Linked DNA regions of Drosophila melanogaster. The protein of the gene in region 1 interacts with the protein of each later gene in a pairwise test. Each region holds a gene or a part of one and is shown in the gene's direction. Other genes may lie near its edges. The genes, in order: Nplp1, Rm62, sip1 and Prm.

Region 1 (4,648 bases):
CAAGGCAATTGAACTGTATCATTATTGCTTAGAGGACGCCTGTTCAACTCAGTATTCTATGATTGTAAGAGTACCTATTTATTTGTGCTTTTGCAGTGTAGACAAAGTCATTGTGCTATTACCCAATGATTTACCAACTGAAATGTGGGGAGTTTCAGTCCGCTTGAACCCAGAACTAGGGATGCCGGCATGTTAACCAACTCATCCTCGACTGTTGCTCTGTTGCTCTGGTCTGCTGACCAAATTTGATATGCATGGATTGGTTGAAGCAAAAGCCGACAGTACCGCTGGCTCCAACCTCCTATGTTGCAGTGCGCTGACAGGTTTCCCTGCCAGCTGTCTGTACCGGCGTGCAATCTGCTACATCCGCCGCTTCATCTGCCATCCGCCATATATCCTTCTTTTAGGAGTGACGCGGGGAAACCCCCACAGCGATTTGCTTTACTGACGTAGGCATATGATTGTGACCGCCCCTGCATTTTGTGCATTGCTCTTGCCGCACTCAGGGTTTTGGGTATAACCGGGGATCTGGTTTTAACATTTTACGCTTCATAATATGGTATTCGGAAATTGCATAAACTTAGCTTCTGCGGGAGGGGTGCAGCAATCTATCTGTTGGCATTACTTTCCGGCTTTTTGGTTATTTTATATTTTCGGAATTCTTACAGACAGGTCACTGCAACGCCATTCTAATCGGGAGTTCTTTTGTACTTCATTGAATTCCAATGCTTTTAATTTGGTTTATACGATGAAAAGATTCGAGGTTAAAAACCGAATGTAATCAATGAAAATAATAAAAATGTTTATTTTGAATAATCGAAAAGTAAATGTGATTGATAATGTATTTCCAGCCCATTGCTATCCGATAATCAGATTAAATGTAATCATACATAGTAAATACAAACACAAAAGTTAGAAAAATATTTCAACAAAGCCTATTTGTGTTTTAATTACTCTGATTAACTTCAAGTGTGATTTTAAATATTCCAATAAAGAATATTTGAAGCATATGTTTGATTCAAGGTTTTTTATTTAAGTGTTAAGTTCTGCGACGGACAGTGGCCCCGCTGAGAGCGCCAACATATGGCGTACAGCTCAAGTTCGAATTAAGAGAAACCAAAAACTCTTAGATTGGTCCCAAAGCAACCAGCGCACAGTGGATTGAACTTGCAAAGTTGAAAGAAAAATGATAAGAAAACGGTTTCGAGTAATTCAAATTATACCGAAACCCGAAAAATCGTAGCTAAGGAAGGGTTTTCTATTAATTTTTTTATTTTGGACTTGGATTCATTTTAATTTTTTTTTGGCCTGCAAACATTCTATTATATTTTCAAAATGAATCAATAATGTAACCTGCGAATACCAATTTAATATCGAAAAGCTTTGTAGCTGTGCACTGTGCTGCTGGTTGGCCTGAATACACAGAGCTTACCAAGAAGCAACAGAGCTCTGTCCTGCAGCCGCCATGACGTCATTACCTACAATAGCATCCCACGAAACAGGACACTGCACACGCAACAGAGAGGCTATAGAAGAGCAACAGTTGACGGCGCTCCGGTTTCGCTCCCGCGAGTGAGCTTATCCGGGGTGCCGCTCGGGTATATAAAGTCGAGGGTCCTGGCCAAGAGAAAGCAGTCGAGCAGACGACTTTGCGGCTAACGTTAGTGTTACGGCAGCTGGCAAACGGCAAAGCTTCGCGTCCGTGTTTCCGTTACGGTTTAAATCGGTTTGGAAGTGGGTGCTGCAAAAGGGCAGTTCAATTTGTGAGGCAGTGCGAGTGTGGTCGATCCTTTTGTCGCGTTGCAAACGAACGAAACTCACTTAACAGTTGAGCCGCCCCCAGGACGACATCCACGATGCAGGCGGTGCTCCAATCTGCGCACAGCAGCAGGCGGCTAATGCTGTTGCTCTCCATGCTGCTCAATGCCGTAAGTCCTGGGGATTATATTTTCAATTTTAAAAACTGTAGCGCTATCAACATTTTTCGGTCTTTGGGTTTCGTGGACTGTGCTTCTGCCTTCTACTAAATTTATCTTTTATGTGTTGACGTGTGCGGTGGGCCGTGAATTTTGTCGAAATTCGTTTGAGGACTGCGTGTTTTCTCGACGAACGAAAATTGAAAACGCGATATTATCCTTAGAAATCTTTCATATTTATAAAAGCTAATTAAAGAGCTGACATGCTTCTTCTTCTTCTTGCATTTCTAACCCAAAGTTTAGCATGATTACATCTCACCATTGTTCAACGAAGTCTCCGCTTTTCATAACTTGTGCTGTCAGAATACGCAAACTTGTCTACAGCTTCTAAGCTCCAGTGGCTACAAAACGAACAAATTATTTCCATTTTTCAAGGACCCCGTTCACCACGCAGTAATTTATATTGGTACAGCCACGCCCATTCAGGCATAACTTTCCGCGGGTTGTTTTACTTTTGCAAGAGATACATCTGCGGTTGCAACCTCATCCTTCTGGTCAGAACGAGCACAACACGTTTACAGTGCAGTTATTCATATGGCATTCTCACTTTTCCTTTTGGTACATTCAACCATCTCTTGCGGAATAGCTGGCATTCCTTTTGTCCCTCACTGACATATGTATGTGACATTTCTTCATTTTTCATTTCCGCGGAACTTGGCATTTCCCAGAGAGCCTTTTATGATAACTGGCTGCAGGAAAGCCACCTTTAACTACATACCTAATCAAATTGTTTTTCTAGCTATAACAAAGAAAGAACTTTCATGTCGAGCATCTCTCCTCTGTTGTCTTTTACCAAACACAAATAAAATTACATAAAATATTATTGTTGACAGTTTTTGCACGGAAAAAGCCACGGGCTATGAAAGGCTTTGACGGTCAGGAGCGGAACTTTTCATTTTAGATAAAGTTAACAGTTTAGTTCCTCAAATACTTAAATATCCTTACGTCAGTAAATCCAGCAACGTCAGAGGAAACTGCAACGTCAATGACAACTATTGTACAACATGGTTCAATGTAAACTTGCTTATGATTTCGAAGTTGCATCGCTGCATTACAGACAATGAATCAGCACTTTAATGCATATCGATGCAAACAGTTGACGTTAAATGTATGACGACAATATGAAATGACAGAAACGCGTGAGTGTGCCTTAATCTGGCATCAGACTAGATATGTGCGATTTATGATATGACTCGTCATTGTCATATGCGCAACCCAATTTAACAAACAAGAAAATCAATAAAAATAAAAATTAATCTTTTCCATGGATATCGTATACGCACGGAAAAAGGCGAATAAATATTCAAATTTTTAGTACCTTTCACTTTTTTCAGACATTTATTTACAATATTGACATGGGCTCACTTGGGAGTTAGCAAGGATTAAATTTTGTCTGAAAAGTTTCTGATTGGCTTTTGATTAGCTGCCTTTGTATATTTATTTTCGTGGTCAGTAATTGCCAAATGCCCTCGTAACCATGATATGTACACTAAAGCTCTTCCACAGAGCTTGCCTACAAAGTGATTTGGAAAAAGTTACATGTGTGTTTCATTGCAATGACCATTATTGTTAATTGAGCCATTTCCACGCAGTGGACACAAATAAAACTGAATGGAAACCAGATGTAGGGCCAATAAAATTTCTGTAGTGTGGATACAAAAAAACGCAGAGGTACTAGAACGAAAAAGATAATAATACAATTTGGGATCAACATTAAATATCGTTTATAATATCTTCCTATCATAAAAGAGAGTATTTTCAACAGAAACATTTTTATCGTATAAAATGCGGAATGCAGTACCTTTTCCCTACTTACAAATTTCCCTTCGTAAATTACATACGCGCGTGGCTCCTGACTCCTTGTTCCAGCGTTTCAGACACTCTGAATTCCAGGCAAGGTCACAGCACTTAAGTTTTAATATTGCGCACAGTATTTATTTAGGTAAAAAAAGGCAAGCAATTACGCCATTGAAATGTGGGGAAACCAGGGAGCAAGACTGCCATAATAAAATTTGCTTGCGGCTGGGCTTAGGCCACATAAGCGCCTCAACGGGCATCACGGAAAAAAATTAAATCAGAGAATGTTATCGAGCTGGAGGAAAAGAAAACATTGCCCAGATTGTGGATGGCTCTTGGCCATTGCAGTTGTGCATAATCTCACGCCCAATTAGGCTAGGATAGCAATTTGAGTCAATCGATTGGCATCGTCCACTTTTATTTGATGTGTCCTGTCACCTTTCCACTTGATTGACTTTACGATTGTTTCAATTAGGATCTTGATACTTTTTCATTTCTCCCGTCCAAATACGGCTTTATACAAATGAAATATTATATGAATTGTAAGAATCAGAAATAAGCTACGAACTTAATTCACACGCACAATGATAAGCGAATTGCTATTATCCGCTTAATCGCCTGCTTAAGAGGAGGACTGACAGGGAGGATTAAACTGGGCTGGGTTCATATTTAATAGCTTGTAAGCCACAAATATTTTACATCTCTTTCTGTTAAAGTATGCAAAATAAGGAAACAACCCCCTAAATTTTAACGCAACACAGGCTGCCATAAATGGATTCCTCGGCTATAACAGCGCACGCAGCGCAACCGTCCCCACAATAGTGTTTTTACTTGTTTGTTTAGGAAATGCTGGTGACAAAAGCTTTTTCATGCGA
Region 2 (4,682 bases), on another chromosome or scaffold:
TATAACACTGCTAGATAAAGCAGTGCCTTTACTGCTTGCTAATGCGGTCACTTGGTGATCACACTTATATATTTCCATACCCCAAAGGAGGATAAAATTATAACATACCTGAGAACACCCGGGATCTTTAGTCATCTTTGCAACATGCTTCGTATAAAAACGAAATTGAATATAATCTGTTTTTATTGTTAACTTCACTAAAATAGTTCGTAATGCAATTAGATATATTTATTTATAAAATTATTAATAAGAAACGTATTACTTACCGGTTTTTCATATTTCACTTTAAGAAATTGAGCAAAATCCACTTGACACGTTCTACAATCAAATGCAAATTCAGTGTTCGAAACTTTGCTAGAAGAAGGCTGTAACATTTATTCTTGTATTTTTGAACACTCCCAAGGAAAAGTGCGGCAGGGAATTTTAGTACTGAAGAAGGACATATGAACTGGATGTTTGGGTGGCTACGTGTTATCTGCTATTTTTGTCTTTATCAATTGATTTGTTAAAAATGTCACACAGCAACTCCACCTTTTGGAGAGGGTTCTCTCCGAATTTTAAAACCGATTGACCATGGCCTTTACAGTACAATTACGATATACGATAGTTCGTGGTAAGATATTTAAATAAAGTACAGTGAGGTAGTTGGTAAATTTGTAAGAGCTTACAGATACTCATTTTCATTAAAGTGCCGTAAATTTCAATTTTTGGCATTTTGAAAAATAAGTGCATTCTTTACTGGTGTTAATATATGTGGCTACTTAATCCTCCATAGATGCCATTTTATTTTCCAGCATAATATCTATATTTAGCTATTTCCAATCATAACTATGATTCTTTCAATTTAATTCGCTAAAACTCGAGTGAAATTTTCGATTTCTTTCAGACTCATTTTTTAGATGTAAGCAATAAAATTATGTGTAAATTATAAGATTTCTTTAATAAGTATTACTTTTTATAGACTTGAAATGGTCAACAAGCAAGTTCTATGAAATTTTGAAATTAATGATGAAAATTCTGTGTGTTGTACAATATTATATTTTCTTATAAATAATAGGATATATTTTTCCTTTCAGAATATTGAGCCAACCTTATTTTAATTCTTTAAAATATTAGTAAAAATGATGCGAGATTTGCGCTTTTGGTAGATTTCAAAAAATTTGTATTAATTGAAAATGTTAAATAAACCACAAATGGGGTGAGTCTTTGCTAAATGCTCAACACAGAAAGTTGTTTTATGCTTATATTTGTTAAGGTATATTTACTAATCTCCGCACAGACTACGTTTTGGTAGGCTAGGAAATTTAAGACATTTCCGAATATTAGGAGTACGGACCGACGACGAGATACATTTAAAGTTCGTTTCAGCAGAATCTTAAATATTAAAAACTTAGCGGGCAAGTAAATACACCGCGTTCAGCTGATTATCGATAGCTAGGAAATTTAAGACATTTCCGAATATTAGGAGTACGGACCGACGACGAGATATATTTAAAGTTCGTTTCAGCAGAATCTTAAATATTAAAAACTTAGCGGGCAAGTAAATACACCGCGTTCAGCTGATTATCGATAGCAACCAGGTGGTCACTCTAATAGACGTTTTCATGCGAGCCCGCTGCGGTCACACCAACTTCTCGACCGATTTTTCCCCTCCATCTAGGGTCACTCTAATTTTGGACGAGGTTAGGTAAGACACGCGCGGATGCCGCGCTGCGTAGGATAAATCCGTCATTAGCATAACCGCATTGAAGCTAAGTCTTCGGGAAAATGCTTAAGCTTGTGCAATACATAGCCCCCCGGGTGGGCGGCGCCACGCCCCGACCGACTGCCTGCGGCTGGGGCAACTTGCTATTGATTTCCCCGAGAAGTGGCGCGAGCTCCGAGAAATGTATAACGCAACGTCGCCATTTTCTTTTCTCCTCCGCCAGCAGCAGCGGCACTTTCGCTTCTTCTTCTTCGCTCTGCACCGAACAACGACAACAGTTCCACGGGAGTCGCAGGAATCGTGAGACAATACTGTTCCCAAGCACATATAGTAGTCTCCAAGCTCAGTCGCAGCGTGCGTTTCGAGACAGCTCGAAACCAGATTCAGACGACTACGTAGATTCCATCCCGAAAGCAGAGCAGCGGACGAGGACGAGGAAATCGCTTTTCAACGATCCCGACGAAAGAACTGAGGAAATCAAAATTGAAGGAGTAATGTGAGTACGCCGCAAGATTTCATATGAAATGCGTTGGTTTTTTCCACTCACTGTCGCCATTTTATCACCCTTCGTGCCATTCCTCTTTTTTTTTTTTTTTTTCTGTACACCTACGAAGCGAGGTGATGAGTAATTAGTGTGAGCGAAAGAGAGAGTTTGGGGAGAGAGAGAAAAACACATGGTTTGCTAAATTTTGTCAGTCGGAGGTGAGGTTTTCAGCCATTTGTTGTTTTTTTCTTTGTGTTTGCCCCCGCACATCCGCAAAGGAGTAGCAAAAGCAACAAGAACGACAGCGCACGTCATAAAAAGAATTTGCCTGATTTGTGAAACGTGTTCTTGCTTCGTTTGCTATTTTATAGCGTTTTAATTTGTCTGTATGCCCCGAACATGAACACGCGCACTCACACAGCGGCACATACGGACTTGCTTGTATGCGTGAATGCCTGTTGACGGCGGCATTTTCTCGTGCTCGTAGAACAGTTCGAACAGTGTGTGCGAGCGTATAACAGTCGGCGGCTGTCACTGACTAGCGCCGTCCTGCTCACTCGCCAGCATGCCTTTCCATCACATTCTTTCCATGGCTCACACGAGGTTTTGTAGAGATATCGCGATGTTTTTGGTATTGGCAATTTTATAATTTGATGTAACCATCCCGACATAGATTTATACTTACTATGCTTAATTTGGGAAGTGAATGGGGTTAATGGTTTGCTTCGTTTGGTTATCTAATGCGTACATTGAAATATATAATTTCAGTATAATTCTGTATACTGAGGACAATTTTAGGGAAAAGTAGGGTTATTCTCTTAAAATTTTCTCTACACTATAAGTAAAGGTTCCATGCAAACACATTTAACTTACAGATTATCAAAAATGCATTTTATCGATCATTTTATCTATTTTGCTACGCTCTTTTTGTGTTTACTTATCATGAACCATGCTTGTTATGCAATAAAAATTATTTATTAGAAAGTTATACTATAGTATTGATAAAAACTCAAGTAACAACCAAATATTAAATGGTAATAGTAACCCAGTTCGTGAACTACGCCATCACATAAACGGCCCCATTAGTCTAAAATGTCAAATGACGCCAATTGATTATGAGCTCCCCCTTTGGCGAGCGCGCGATTCGTCTTTTCGCATGTCAAAAAGCGACAGGTAGACACACAGAAAGTCAAAGGTGCCCCCAGGGACTGTCCCCTCCTCCCCTCGGGTGTTTGCCCACCGTTGAAACTAGGGGCAAGACATTTGGCTGTCTCATAAATGTTCAGAGCGTTCCGCTTCGCTAGTTGGGCACAAACGTTAGCGTGCCAGTGGGTCCTACAAATAGACGTTTAGGGCGGTACGGTGTTCCAAATTGACAGAGTAATAGACAAAAAAAAACGTGGGCCTGGATCGTGGGTGATTTGCATGGTGCACCCCATAGTGATGCCCACTAGGATCACGAAAATGGAGCTTACATACGAAGTAAAGCGAATATAAAGTGGAAATTTATAGAAGTTAGTTCGTAACACAATAAACATAATTTATGTTGTAAATTTTGTTTTATACAACTTTACCATCCAACTTAATCTTGCACTATATTTATTACCACATTGTATATACACTCCGCAGAGTTAATATTATTTTTCCCTAATTATTGCAAAGTGCTAACATATATAGGTCGGTACCTTCGCCAGTTCTGACTGGAACTAGAACTGCGCCAGGTTGATTAATGCCAGAGCAATAAACGCAGGGCTTTGTACATGGGGCTGTTTAGTTTAGTTGAGCATTTAGGGGCTGATAAACTGGGGTGAAAAATTGGTGGGAGGGTGGGCTGTGAATAGAAACCCTGCTCGAATTGCATGTTGTTGTCAATCAAATTTGCCTTACTGTTTGCATTATTCGAAATTTATTTAATTTCCCTAACACGCAATTAGTTTTTATTTAAGTTTATTGCGGTTGTAGCACAGCACAACTCCCATGTCAGCTGTTTAGCAGCGTCGAAAGAAATCGAAAAGCGAAGACTTACCTTCCAAGCCAAGTCGCAGTTGAAATCCAAGTCCCAACTGGCAGACGTCTAGAAACGGCAGCATGCGAGCAAAGTAAGCCAAGTCACTCGTTTCTTTTTTTCCTCAATTTTCTGTCAAAGAAATACTTAAGAAAAGAAAGTGCAGCTGTCTACGCCGAGCCGGAAAAAATGATTCCAGTTAAGCATGGTTTAATTCTCGAAGGTCCCTTTTATCAAGGGAAAATTTATGACACACAGTTTCTGGGTAATGTGTGTGCAGCGCAAAATTATTTTAGATGGCAGATAAGGAGGAATTGATTATACAAATGTACAACGCGAAATTAAAAAGTTTGTGAGAAAACTATCAAACTATATCAACTTCAGCGAAATTCGGTTACAAAGCTCAAAGTGGGATATTTTCTTAAAGATTCCACTGAATTCACGGCAGCGAAATAACAAGTCGTGAAGTCGTTCAATTTCCATGAATA
Region 3 (5,076 bases), on another chromosome or scaffold:
TGGCAAAACTAACTGGAGCACGCCAACTGGAAAATAAGTAAATTAAGTTAGCAAAGAAATCTTTATAGATTGCTATTAAGTGTTTATTAGATAAAAGAGCACTCACCGTGATACCACCATTTCCAGATTATCGAAGAACGTAAAGTCCCCGTTGGTGGTATACGTCACGGACTCGGCACAGCCGACTTCCCGACTCTTTCGTCCCATGACAAGATTCTGAAGCAGCCAGAACTCTCCGTGCTGAAGCCTCTCGAAACGGAGCGATCGGTCGCGGCACTTGAGCAATGATCGCAATTCCTTGGTGCGAGCGGAGTCCTCTCGCCGGATTATTTTCGGATGCTGATCATTGGCGAGATGGAAGTTTGCAGAAAAACGTGAGGGATTCGACTCGTTGGACAGCAAAAGTCCTACCGACTTTTGCCCACCAGTATTAGAAGATGCGGCCAGTTTCTGGGCCTGCTGCAGGTTCCTCCAAACCAGCAGGAGTGCCACATTGAACAGTATGAGCACTGGCCACAGACGGACATATTTCCTATTGCAAAAACTTATGGTCGCCATGCTGATTTCGAGAACATTGATTCACAGGAACTCCTTAACTAACAGAACACAAAGAACTTATTGACCTGTGAACGGAAACAGAAATATTGATATAATTCCGTTGAAAATGGATATGGAAATCGAAAGAAGAGTTTATGGCAGCGACTGAGCTTTTTGTCTGTAGTTATGTCTAATTTACTGGGCCTATTGTATGAACTGAAATTAGTGCTGTACTCATCCGATAAGATTCCATGTAATGTGGTAGCATGCAAGGGGGTTCATCGATGTTTTATAATGTTCTGATAATGGGGCTGCCCAACAATGAAGATGACTACCTCCTTTTACCCAGTAAAACTAAACATGATTTACGTACTCTGATAAAAACGGTGACATTTATGGTACCATACACAGAGAACAACTTTTCACTTTACCGGCTGACACTTTCATTTCCATCGACAAGAGTTTGCACATTAAAGATTAACCCATTTTATGACGTACGAAACGACGCAAATTGTTTGAGGGATTTTTTTCTGTTAAGATTAAAAGTTATTTCACGAACGAGACAGACAACATTCGGCGATGAATAATGGAAACAGACTAAAATTACTGAAGTTCCCGCGAAGCTATCATAGTTCAAGTGATTTTCTTATCCGTCTAGTTATCAATATTGTCGTATTTTCCTATCCTTATCATAACAATTCAGTAGACGTAACCAATTGATAGCGCTAATCGAGTGTTAGCCAAATACATATATGGTCAACAGACGATTAGGCGGCATAAACATGTATTTCTTACTTTATCGATTTTAATATCTTATCACTATAATCAAATACCTTTAAAAAAATTTTCTAAAAATAGTTTTCTTTTGAAATCGGATTCTCAAGTATTTCATACTGCGTACTTATGCTAATTAAAAGGGAGCTCATTCTGTTAGGAATGAACTTACTAAACTAATAATAGTTCGGTAATTGAGTCAATTAGTTGTGGTTTTCAATTGTCAAAAAATTTAAATTTATTTTGGCGCCGATAAGCGATACTAATAGTGTACTAAAGTTAGTATTTAGTACTTTTGTATCGATTTTCTTATCGATAAAATTGCTAATTTAGGGCCATCCCTATTGTCAATGGTGCGTTTGTTTACATTCACAAAAGTTTCAGTTTCTGCTGTAAGTAATATATACACGTCTAGCCAGGATGTCGGACAACGATTACGAGCGTTTCGAGATAACGGACTACGATCTGGACAATGAGTTCAACATCAATCGGCCCCGAGGCCGCCAGAGCAGGCACCAACAGATCTACGGTATGTATTGAAATACATGCCGGAATTTGTTTGTAAACGAACTTTCTGTAGGTATTTGGGCGGATGACAGCGAGGAGGAGAGTGGTGGCGAGGGCGGAACTAAGAGAAGGGGGCGCGCCGCCCGTAAACCCAAAGACTACACCATGCCCGTCAATTTTGTGGCCGGCGGCATTCAGCAGGCGGGCAAAAAGAAGAAGAAGGCGCTCCAAGCCGATGATGAGAAAGGATCGCAAAAAGAGGGAGCAGAGGCTGACCAGGGCGAGGAGAGCGACGATTCCGCCGCCAGCGGACGGCCAGCCTTCGGCCAGAACGATCCGGGCAGCTCCAACAGCTCATCAGAAGAGGAGAGGCCAACGCTGAGCCGGAAACAGCCAAGCACCACATTTCAGCATCGCTCCCACATCGCCAGCGAGCGCAACGTGGGCGCCTGGGAGCAGCATACACGCGGCATTGGAGCTAAGCTACTCCTTCAAATGGGCTATGAGCCTGGCAAGGGTTTGGGCAAAGATCTGCAGGGCATTTCGCATCCTGTGCAAGCCCATGTCCGCAAGGGCAGAGGTGCTATCGGCGCCTATGGACCCGAAACTGCGGCAAGCATCGGAGGAAAGACGAACAAGAGCATCAAAGTGGATGAGGACGTGCGCGAGGCGAAAGAGTTCAAAGACCAGCTGAACAAGTGGCGAAAGGGCTCAGCCGGTGGCGCCGAACCAATGGAGCGGCAGGGTAAGCGCTACTACTACAAGTCCGTGGAGGAGGTGATTGCCAAGGGTCACACGTCCGGCCACCTACTGTCGGAGAAGCTAAGCAAGAAACTGGGCAATGTGCGGGTGATCGATATGACAGGCCCAGAGAAACGAGTGCTGAGTGGCTATCATGCCTTGGGACAGGCAAAAATTACGCCAGAGGAGACGCTCTACGACACGGAGGCGACGGAAAAGGGATCCGCTCCCGCCTGCGTTTTTGCCATGCCCGAGCTGACGCACAACCTCCAGCTCTTGGTTAGCCAGTGCGAGCAGCAGATCATCGCCATCGACAACCAGGAACGCGAGTGTTCCAGCCAGCAGGCAGCGCTGGAAAGCGAGCACCGGAAACTGGAGGAGATAGTCCAGCTAGAACGAAACCACATACGCACGCTGGAGGAATCGTTGGAGCGCGTGGAGCGGTTAATCGATAATCCAGACTTGAGTTTACCTCAGGCTGAACGACTCTTTCGGGAGCTGCTCGTGGACTACGCTGCCGAATTCCATGAGTTCGGACTTGCAGATCTGGCAGCCGGTGTAATAGCGCCGCTCCTGAAGCGAGAACTAGTTCAGTGGCAGCCACTGGAAAACCCAACGGAACCGCTGCCACTCATCAAGAAATGGCGCGGCATGCTCCAGCAAGGAGATGCAGCAGAGCAGCAGCCCCGCAACGTCTTCGATCCGTACTCCTCGCTCATCTGGGCCGGCGTGATGCCTTCGTTTCGGTCCAGCGCTGCCGCATGGCAGCCGAAGGAGCATCCGCCAATGGCTTCACTCCTAGATGCCTGGGCACCCCTGCTACCTAGCTGGGTCTTGGATTCGGTTCTCGAGCAACTGGTTCTGCCACGACTGGTGGCTGGTGTCCAGGAGTGGGATCCGCTCACCGACACCGTTCCGATCGACAGTTGGGTGCTGCCGTGGCATGCCATCTTGGGCAGCAAGCTGGAGGAGGCCGTCTATCCTCAGATCCGCAGCAAATTGGGTATAGCATTGCGCGCCTGGTCACCGCATGACCGATCAGCCAGAGCCATGCTTACGCCCTGGCAGAAGGCCTTCCCCGAGGAAGAGATGCAAGAGTTCCTGCAGCGGTACATAGTGCCCAAACTGCAGGCGACTCTAGGCGAGCTCATCATCAATCCAATGCACCAGGACCTGGAGCTGTGGCAGCAGGTATGGGAGTGGCACGAGCTCATCGATCCCATGTACATGGCCCAACTACTGGACAGACACTTCTTCCCGCGCTGGATGCAAGTGCTCGTCGTCTGGCTGAATCAGTCGCCGGACTACGCGGAGATCTCGCGATGGTACACCGGCTGGAAGAGCATGTTGAGCGAACCGCTTCTGCGCGAGCCCAGCGTTAAAGAGCATCTGCGGCGAGCACTGGAAATTATGCACAGAGCCAGCGATACCCTGCTGCAGCCCACGGTGACGCCCACGCCCCCGCCTCCAGTTCCTCCGGCTCCAGTCATAATGATGGACCTGATTCATCCGCCCGCTCAGCTGGAGTTCAAAGAGTTGGTATCGCAGCAATGCGCCGACTTGGGAATCATCTTCGCTCCTCTGCCAGGGCGACGGGAGATGGGCAAACAGGTGACTGTTAATCCATTTTCGACCACAGAGCGTTATATACTAATAGATTTATTGCATTTACAGATTTATCGTGTGGGAAAGCTGTTTTGCTACATCGATCGTCACGTCTGCATGGTCAGCGATGGCAGCTTCAGCAACTGGAAGCCGGTGTCGCTAAATCATCTGCTAGAACGCTCTCAAACGGGAATTCTTTAAATAAATAGCTGCGAAAATGTTTAATTGGCTTGGAAAATGTTTAATTGGATTGGATCAGAAGCTTAGCTCTTGCTGTTCCCTAATAAGTTTGTAATATAAGGTGATTGTATGATGAGATGGCTCTGCAGATATAAGCAAATGTCTAAATATATATGTAAAAGTAATCAGATATATTATTCTGTATAAAATTGAAACGGATTTGAATATTTTTGAAATTGATATGATTACATCCAAGTTTTTCACCACGGTTTGGGTCCGAGCTGCATGCTCCATGAATTTAAGATGTAAATATACTGGCAGTATTTTTCGGTATATATTTATTTTGTGGGAGCATGGGTTTGTAACGTGCGCGTTGAAGTAGAAGTACACTAGAAGTATCTTTAGTGTCTTTGGTTGAACCGATTAATAAATCTTTAAAGTCGAAATTTGATTGTTAATAATGTGGTTTATGACATGGATTGGCTGTGGTGCTAGAGAAGGCGGCATTATTAAATAAATTTAAACTCCTTCGCTGTGAGGCGGATTTCTGGAAATCGGTGGATAATTTTTAAAGCATTTTTCAGGATCATTATATAATTAGGCTTAGCCTATTAGCCTATAGGGACACGGTAGTTTAGATCAGCGGGACACAATTCGCAAAAAAAAAGTCCCCGAGTTCCAATTTCCACCGTTCCGCTATCGTCGCTAATTTGACGCACATTTATTATACAT
Region 4 (4,655 bases), on another chromosome or scaffold:
GATACGAATGCGAACGGAGCAAGAAACTGCTCTAATATATAAGGATGGTTAGCCCATCTAGAGCTCTAGATGTGTGCGTCAGTTGGCCTCAGGTGAAATGTGTGTGGAAAATGAACACGATTATGAGCAAGCCGAGAAAAAAGGCACAAATAACACGAAATTCGGTTGCTAAAAATAAGCGAAAATTCATTTTTAAGTATAGTTAGGCAAATGTGTGTTTGTGTGTGGAGCACAGGTGGAGGAGATCGCTCGAAGACGAACGAGAATTTTCACTCGAAAAGCTTCGGTTCCTTTGGAAAAGTGAGCCAAAAATCGCCGAACGAAGCGTGTTCGCAATGTAACAGAAATTATTTACACAATATGTATTTACTATGGGGGCACATGGAGAGACCCGTCAGTTGCCAAAAAGATATAATGCAGAGACAGTCATCTACGTGACCATTGAACAACAATTGTTAGATGACATCGCATTGTCTGAGGCTGAGCAGACTGCTGTCCGCACGGCCAAGGATTCACTCAAAATTGTATATTTTTGTTTATTTCGCACAATTTTTTTTCACACACTCTCTACGTCTATTTATTTATGCTGGCGAATAACACGTTTCGATGCCAAAAGTCAAGTATTTTTAGAAAACATTGCTGTAATCCTAATTGGCTGTTAGCGAATAATTTAGAAGGCATATCATAGAAAATTTTGACACTTTTATGATTTTTCTGCTTGTGTAAAAATGTTGTAATACCCCTGAGATCTGTATAGCATATATATTTGGGCTCTATATTTGGCTGGGGTTTCATGCTCTAGCCTCTTTTCTTTTTGATAATAATATATGCTAAATCAATTTGAAATCAATCGATTCAAATATTTACATATATAGTCTCTAACGCTTAAATGTATTCAATATTCTAGATGTTCTAATGTTCTAGAAACCGTTTCCAAAAGTCAAATCATTCTATTTAAGTTTGCTCCCAGAATTATATCTCAATCTTTATAGTCTAGGGACTACGTGCTGGAATACTGGTTTGGCACTACCTTTTAAATAATATCCGAGGCCCCTGAACCAAGAAAATGTGCCAATAAATATAAATTATGAACTTTATGATCTGCAGAGGATGCCAAATATTTCAACATGACTTATATGTATGTACGTTCGAGAATTGGGAAAATTTATGTGTAGATACATTCTGGCCAGACGCTAGATACACAAAATGAAACGCACAAATGACACAGGCTAATTACAGGTAAGCAATAGAAAAGAAAAGACAAGAAAAGCAGGCGTACTTCGTGTTTTTGAGTTTATTTTCGTAGGGGGCAAGCTCTCAGGCAAACTAGCGTGAAAATGCGTTCACACAAGCTTCGGCCCAAGTGAAATGAAAAATCAAAGAATTTTCCACACAACTGAGCAATTAACACAACAACACGGCCGCGTGAAAAGTCACTCGAAAGTCCCACTCACATTCACATAGGTGGTGGTGGTGGCTTATAGATATATCTCAGGGTATATCCCACTCGGATCCGATCGGCGGGGAGCCGATGGCGCCCGACGGCGACCGAAGGCTCCCGAAGGGAACCGAATAAATCGTTGAAATAGACGAATTCAGCTGGCAGGCCAAACCAATTCAACGAAATACTCTTTATTCGAACGACAACGGGATCTCTTGTTCAGTAGATCACCAGCCTTACTCCGACGTTTATTACGAATTTTCTCGGTGACTCGGTGACAACTACAAAACTGCGTGCGGTGCTGTATAGATTTTCGCTTGAGAGGAACACACAAATCATAATACTAGATACGCGAACCGATCGCACATTAATTTATAGAACCAAAATCGAAAATCTGACCTAGCAAACATGTCGTCATCGCAGGCTGTCCGCTCCTCGAAATACTCCTACCGTGCCACGTCCACCGGACCCGGTACCGCCGATGTGAACATCGAGTACATCCAGGACCTGAGCTCGCTCTCCCGCTTGGAGGTAAGGATCCCGTCCCGCTCCGTCTCGGAATCTCGAATTCGAATTCGTAATTGGAAGCGGACCGGTATCGTTTAAGAAATCGGCATCGTATTGGGCACCAAATCCCCAAAAAGACGTTGGAATTCCGACCAGGGAATAGGAATACGAAATGCGTGTGCGCCAAATTTTCTTCAAAATCTACGAGAATTTCTCTCTCTTGTTTCGGTGTCTGTGTAGAGACTGAAAAAGAATCGGAATATAATCAAGAAAAAATACGAAAAACAAACTAAGAAACCCGAAAAATTCATCTACACTCTATATCAAATGCACATATATACCGTAGATATATATTCGTGTGTTAAGTTCTCGGCGCGTTCTTGTGTGTGGAAATATAGAAAATTCGGTGAAGCAAAATTCTAGATTTGTATATGTATCTAAACGTGTCTGTATATACATATGCATTGCTAAAAAATTATGTAATGGCCACCTCTGGGCAATACATATACACGAGAAAACATCGAAGAAAAATTTGTGAAGAAATCAATCAACTGTGCTGTAAAGTGCTTTTTAATGAATGTTTTAATCAAATAATATGAAATAACGAGCCCATAAAAGATCAAACTCAATAAATGTATCCACCATTTTCTTGCAGGACAAGATCCGTTTGCTCCAAGATGATCTTGAAGTTGAACGTGAGTTGCGCCAAAGGGTGAGTCATTCAATATGGAAATATTCATAATTTTAAATATTTTTAAGTTATTTTTGAACCGAGTATTTTTAAGGTATTACTATAGGTTTCTTTGGAATATTTTTGAACATTCTTAATTTATTGAGAGCATCGTTTTTAGTCAATAAGATTATTTGCTGATGAAATCGGCGTCAGAGATATGACATATCCGAGGAAGTTAGAAAAGATCAGACCGCATTCTCCGAGACCCAATGGAAATCAAAGCGCCAGGGAAAACCATTTTTACTTTTTTCACCTCGCAAATGTCACCCTAAAAACAGCAAAAATATGTGGAAAGCCAAAATAAAATCAAAATAGACCAAAGTAGCAGTAGCGATAGAACCGATAGAAAAGTCAGCAAACAAATGCAAATCTAAGAATAAACTACCCTTCGTAGAGTTTCGAAAGTGTGAAAGTAAATGATAATGATGTGCATTGAACTTCAATCGCTTTCGTTTTTGGCTTTTCCTTCCCTGCGGAGCATTGATAAATGATTTTTCCCCTGACTTTGCAAAGACAGCGGCCGCAAAGACAGCAAAGTCAGGAACAGCCAGAGAAAAGTGGGAAAATTCGCAGGCCGAAAGTGCACTTCATTCAGCGCAATCCTCTTGGGCGTTACAAATTTAGAAAATGCGAAGAGCTCTTGCCGGAATGGAATGGGCTGGCCAGGAATGTTCTGAAAATTTTGTTAAAAAATCAAATTTAATTACTTTGTGCCTTATGGATTAGCACGCACTCGCACACAGATACAACGCCCCCCAACACACACTCACAATATATGGAACAAAATGGCTAAAATTAGCGCACGACATTCAATACAGAGAAGCGAATGATTAACTTGAAAACAACCAAAATATGAGCAGAGAAGAAAAGAAAATAAAGTAGCCAAAAAGTCATCATCATCACCATCTTCATGATCAGCGGCGGCAGAGAGGAAAATTCGCTCGCTCACTACGGGAAAATCTTCGCTTTTTGTCTGTGGGCGTGTGTCTGTGGGAAAATTAAATAATTTTCATGCACATTAAAAGTCTTCACACCGCCTGGCATTCTTTCTACATATCCACATATGCATATATAGGCGGCAAAAACATGTATCTACAAGATACATATGGCGCAAATGGATTTACGGCCCGTACTTACGTGGCCTTTGTGGCAATCGGCAACTTTTTGTTATGCCAAATGAACGGACAAACACATGTTCGCCTAGGTATTATCATAAACATAAATGTACAAACATATTCAGCGAGAGATTTAAAAGAGATTTATCAGACCAATACGTTCTTTATTTAAGCTTGGGGCATTTCAGTTAGCTGAATTTTTTATGATTGCTTCGGACAGCTCCAAATACCAGAAATCCCAATGGCCGCACATAGCTTTCATAAAATAGCATTTAATTGCAATTCGCAAAATTGACCAAACGAGGTCGTCGACAAAGGCGAAAAGCAAATGTTTAGATTCCGAGGGAGCCAACAAAAAATGTTTCTGTTCAAGCGAAAAATGTTCGAATGCCTTTTTGGAAATGCAATCTAGGAAAGCGGTGTGCGGCCGCCCACAAAAGATATATACGCATATATAGACGCATATATCGTGGATGCAATCGGACTATGGCTACACCTCTGCGTGGAAGATTTCTTGGCAAGATGCCATTGTTATTTTAGGTGTTGCATGTGCATAATTATTTTTGACTGATTAATGTGATTTATAATTTTTATTATGGGCTGTTTGAGTAGCCACAGAGCATGGCTAGCGCAGGGTATTTATAGATCCTTCACATTATACCAAGTCGCTAATGAAATCTCTTCTTAATCTCTGCTTATATTCTTCAAATTTCAGATCGAGCGCGAGAAAGCCGATCTCAGCGTTCAGGTCATTCAGATGTCCGAGCGTCTCGAGGAGGCCGAGGGTGGTGCTGAACATCAAGTGAGTACCATGTGGTAAACCAATATTGCAATCCAGCCATAACTGATGTATCTTCCA

The links.
Region 2: the proteins of Nplp1 (region 1) and Rm62 interact in a two-hybrid assay, tested with the Drosophila melanogaster proteins (one large-scale study listed by BioGRID).
Region 3: the proteins of Nplp1 (region 1) and sip1 interact in a two-hybrid assay, tested with the Drosophila melanogaster proteins (one large-scale study listed by BioGRID).
Region 4: the proteins of Nplp1 (region 1) and Prm interact in a two-hybrid assay, tested with the Drosophila melanogaster proteins (one large-scale study listed by BioGRID).

What each region holds. Positions count from the first base shown.
Region 1 is NT_033778.4:25,030,752-25,035,399, forward strand, and holds the start of Nplp1 (Neuropeptide-like precursor 1), read left to right. Parts: upstream 1-1,625; 5' UTR 1,626-1,856; coding exon 1,857-1,928; intron 1,929-4,648.
Region 2 is NT_033777.3:6,005,556-6,010,237, reverse strand, and holds the start of Rm62 (Rm62), read left to right. Parts: upstream 1-1,664; 5' UTR 1,665-1,767; coding exon 1,768-2,201; intron 2,202-2,509; exon of another isoform or gene 2,510-2,792; intron 2,793-4,123; exon of another isoform or gene 4,124-4,277; coding exon of another isoform or gene 4,278-4,288; intron 4,289-4,682. UniProt on the Drosophila melanogaster protein: As an RNA helicase, unwinds RNA and alters RNA structures through ATP binding and hydrolysis. Involved in multiple cellular processes, including pre-mRNA splicing, alternative splicing, rRNA processing and miRNA processing, as well as transcription regulation.
Region 3 is NT_033779.5:5,719,405-5,724,480, forward strand, and holds sip1 (septin interacting protein 1), read left to right. Parts: upstream 1-1,646; 5' UTR 1,647-1,731; coding exon 1,732-1,840; intron 1,841-1,891; coding exon 1,892-4,170; intron 4,171-4,233; coding exon 4,234-4,365; 3' UTR 4,366-4,540; downstream 4,541-5,076. Other genes in the region: CG11149 (uncharacterized protein), read right to left, coding at 1-26, 107-558. UniProt on the Drosophila melanogaster protein: May be involved in pre-mRNA splicing.
Region 4 is NT_037436.4:8,742,280-8,746,934, reverse strand, and holds the start of Prm (paramyosin), read left to right. Parts: upstream 1-1,624; 5' UTR 1,625-1,849; coding exon 1,850-1,972; intron 1,973-2,603; coding exon 2,604-2,660; intron 2,661-4,511; coding exon 4,512-4,598; intron 4,599-4,655. UniProt on the Drosophila melanogaster protein: Paramyosin is a major structural component of many thick filaments isolated from invertebrate muscles.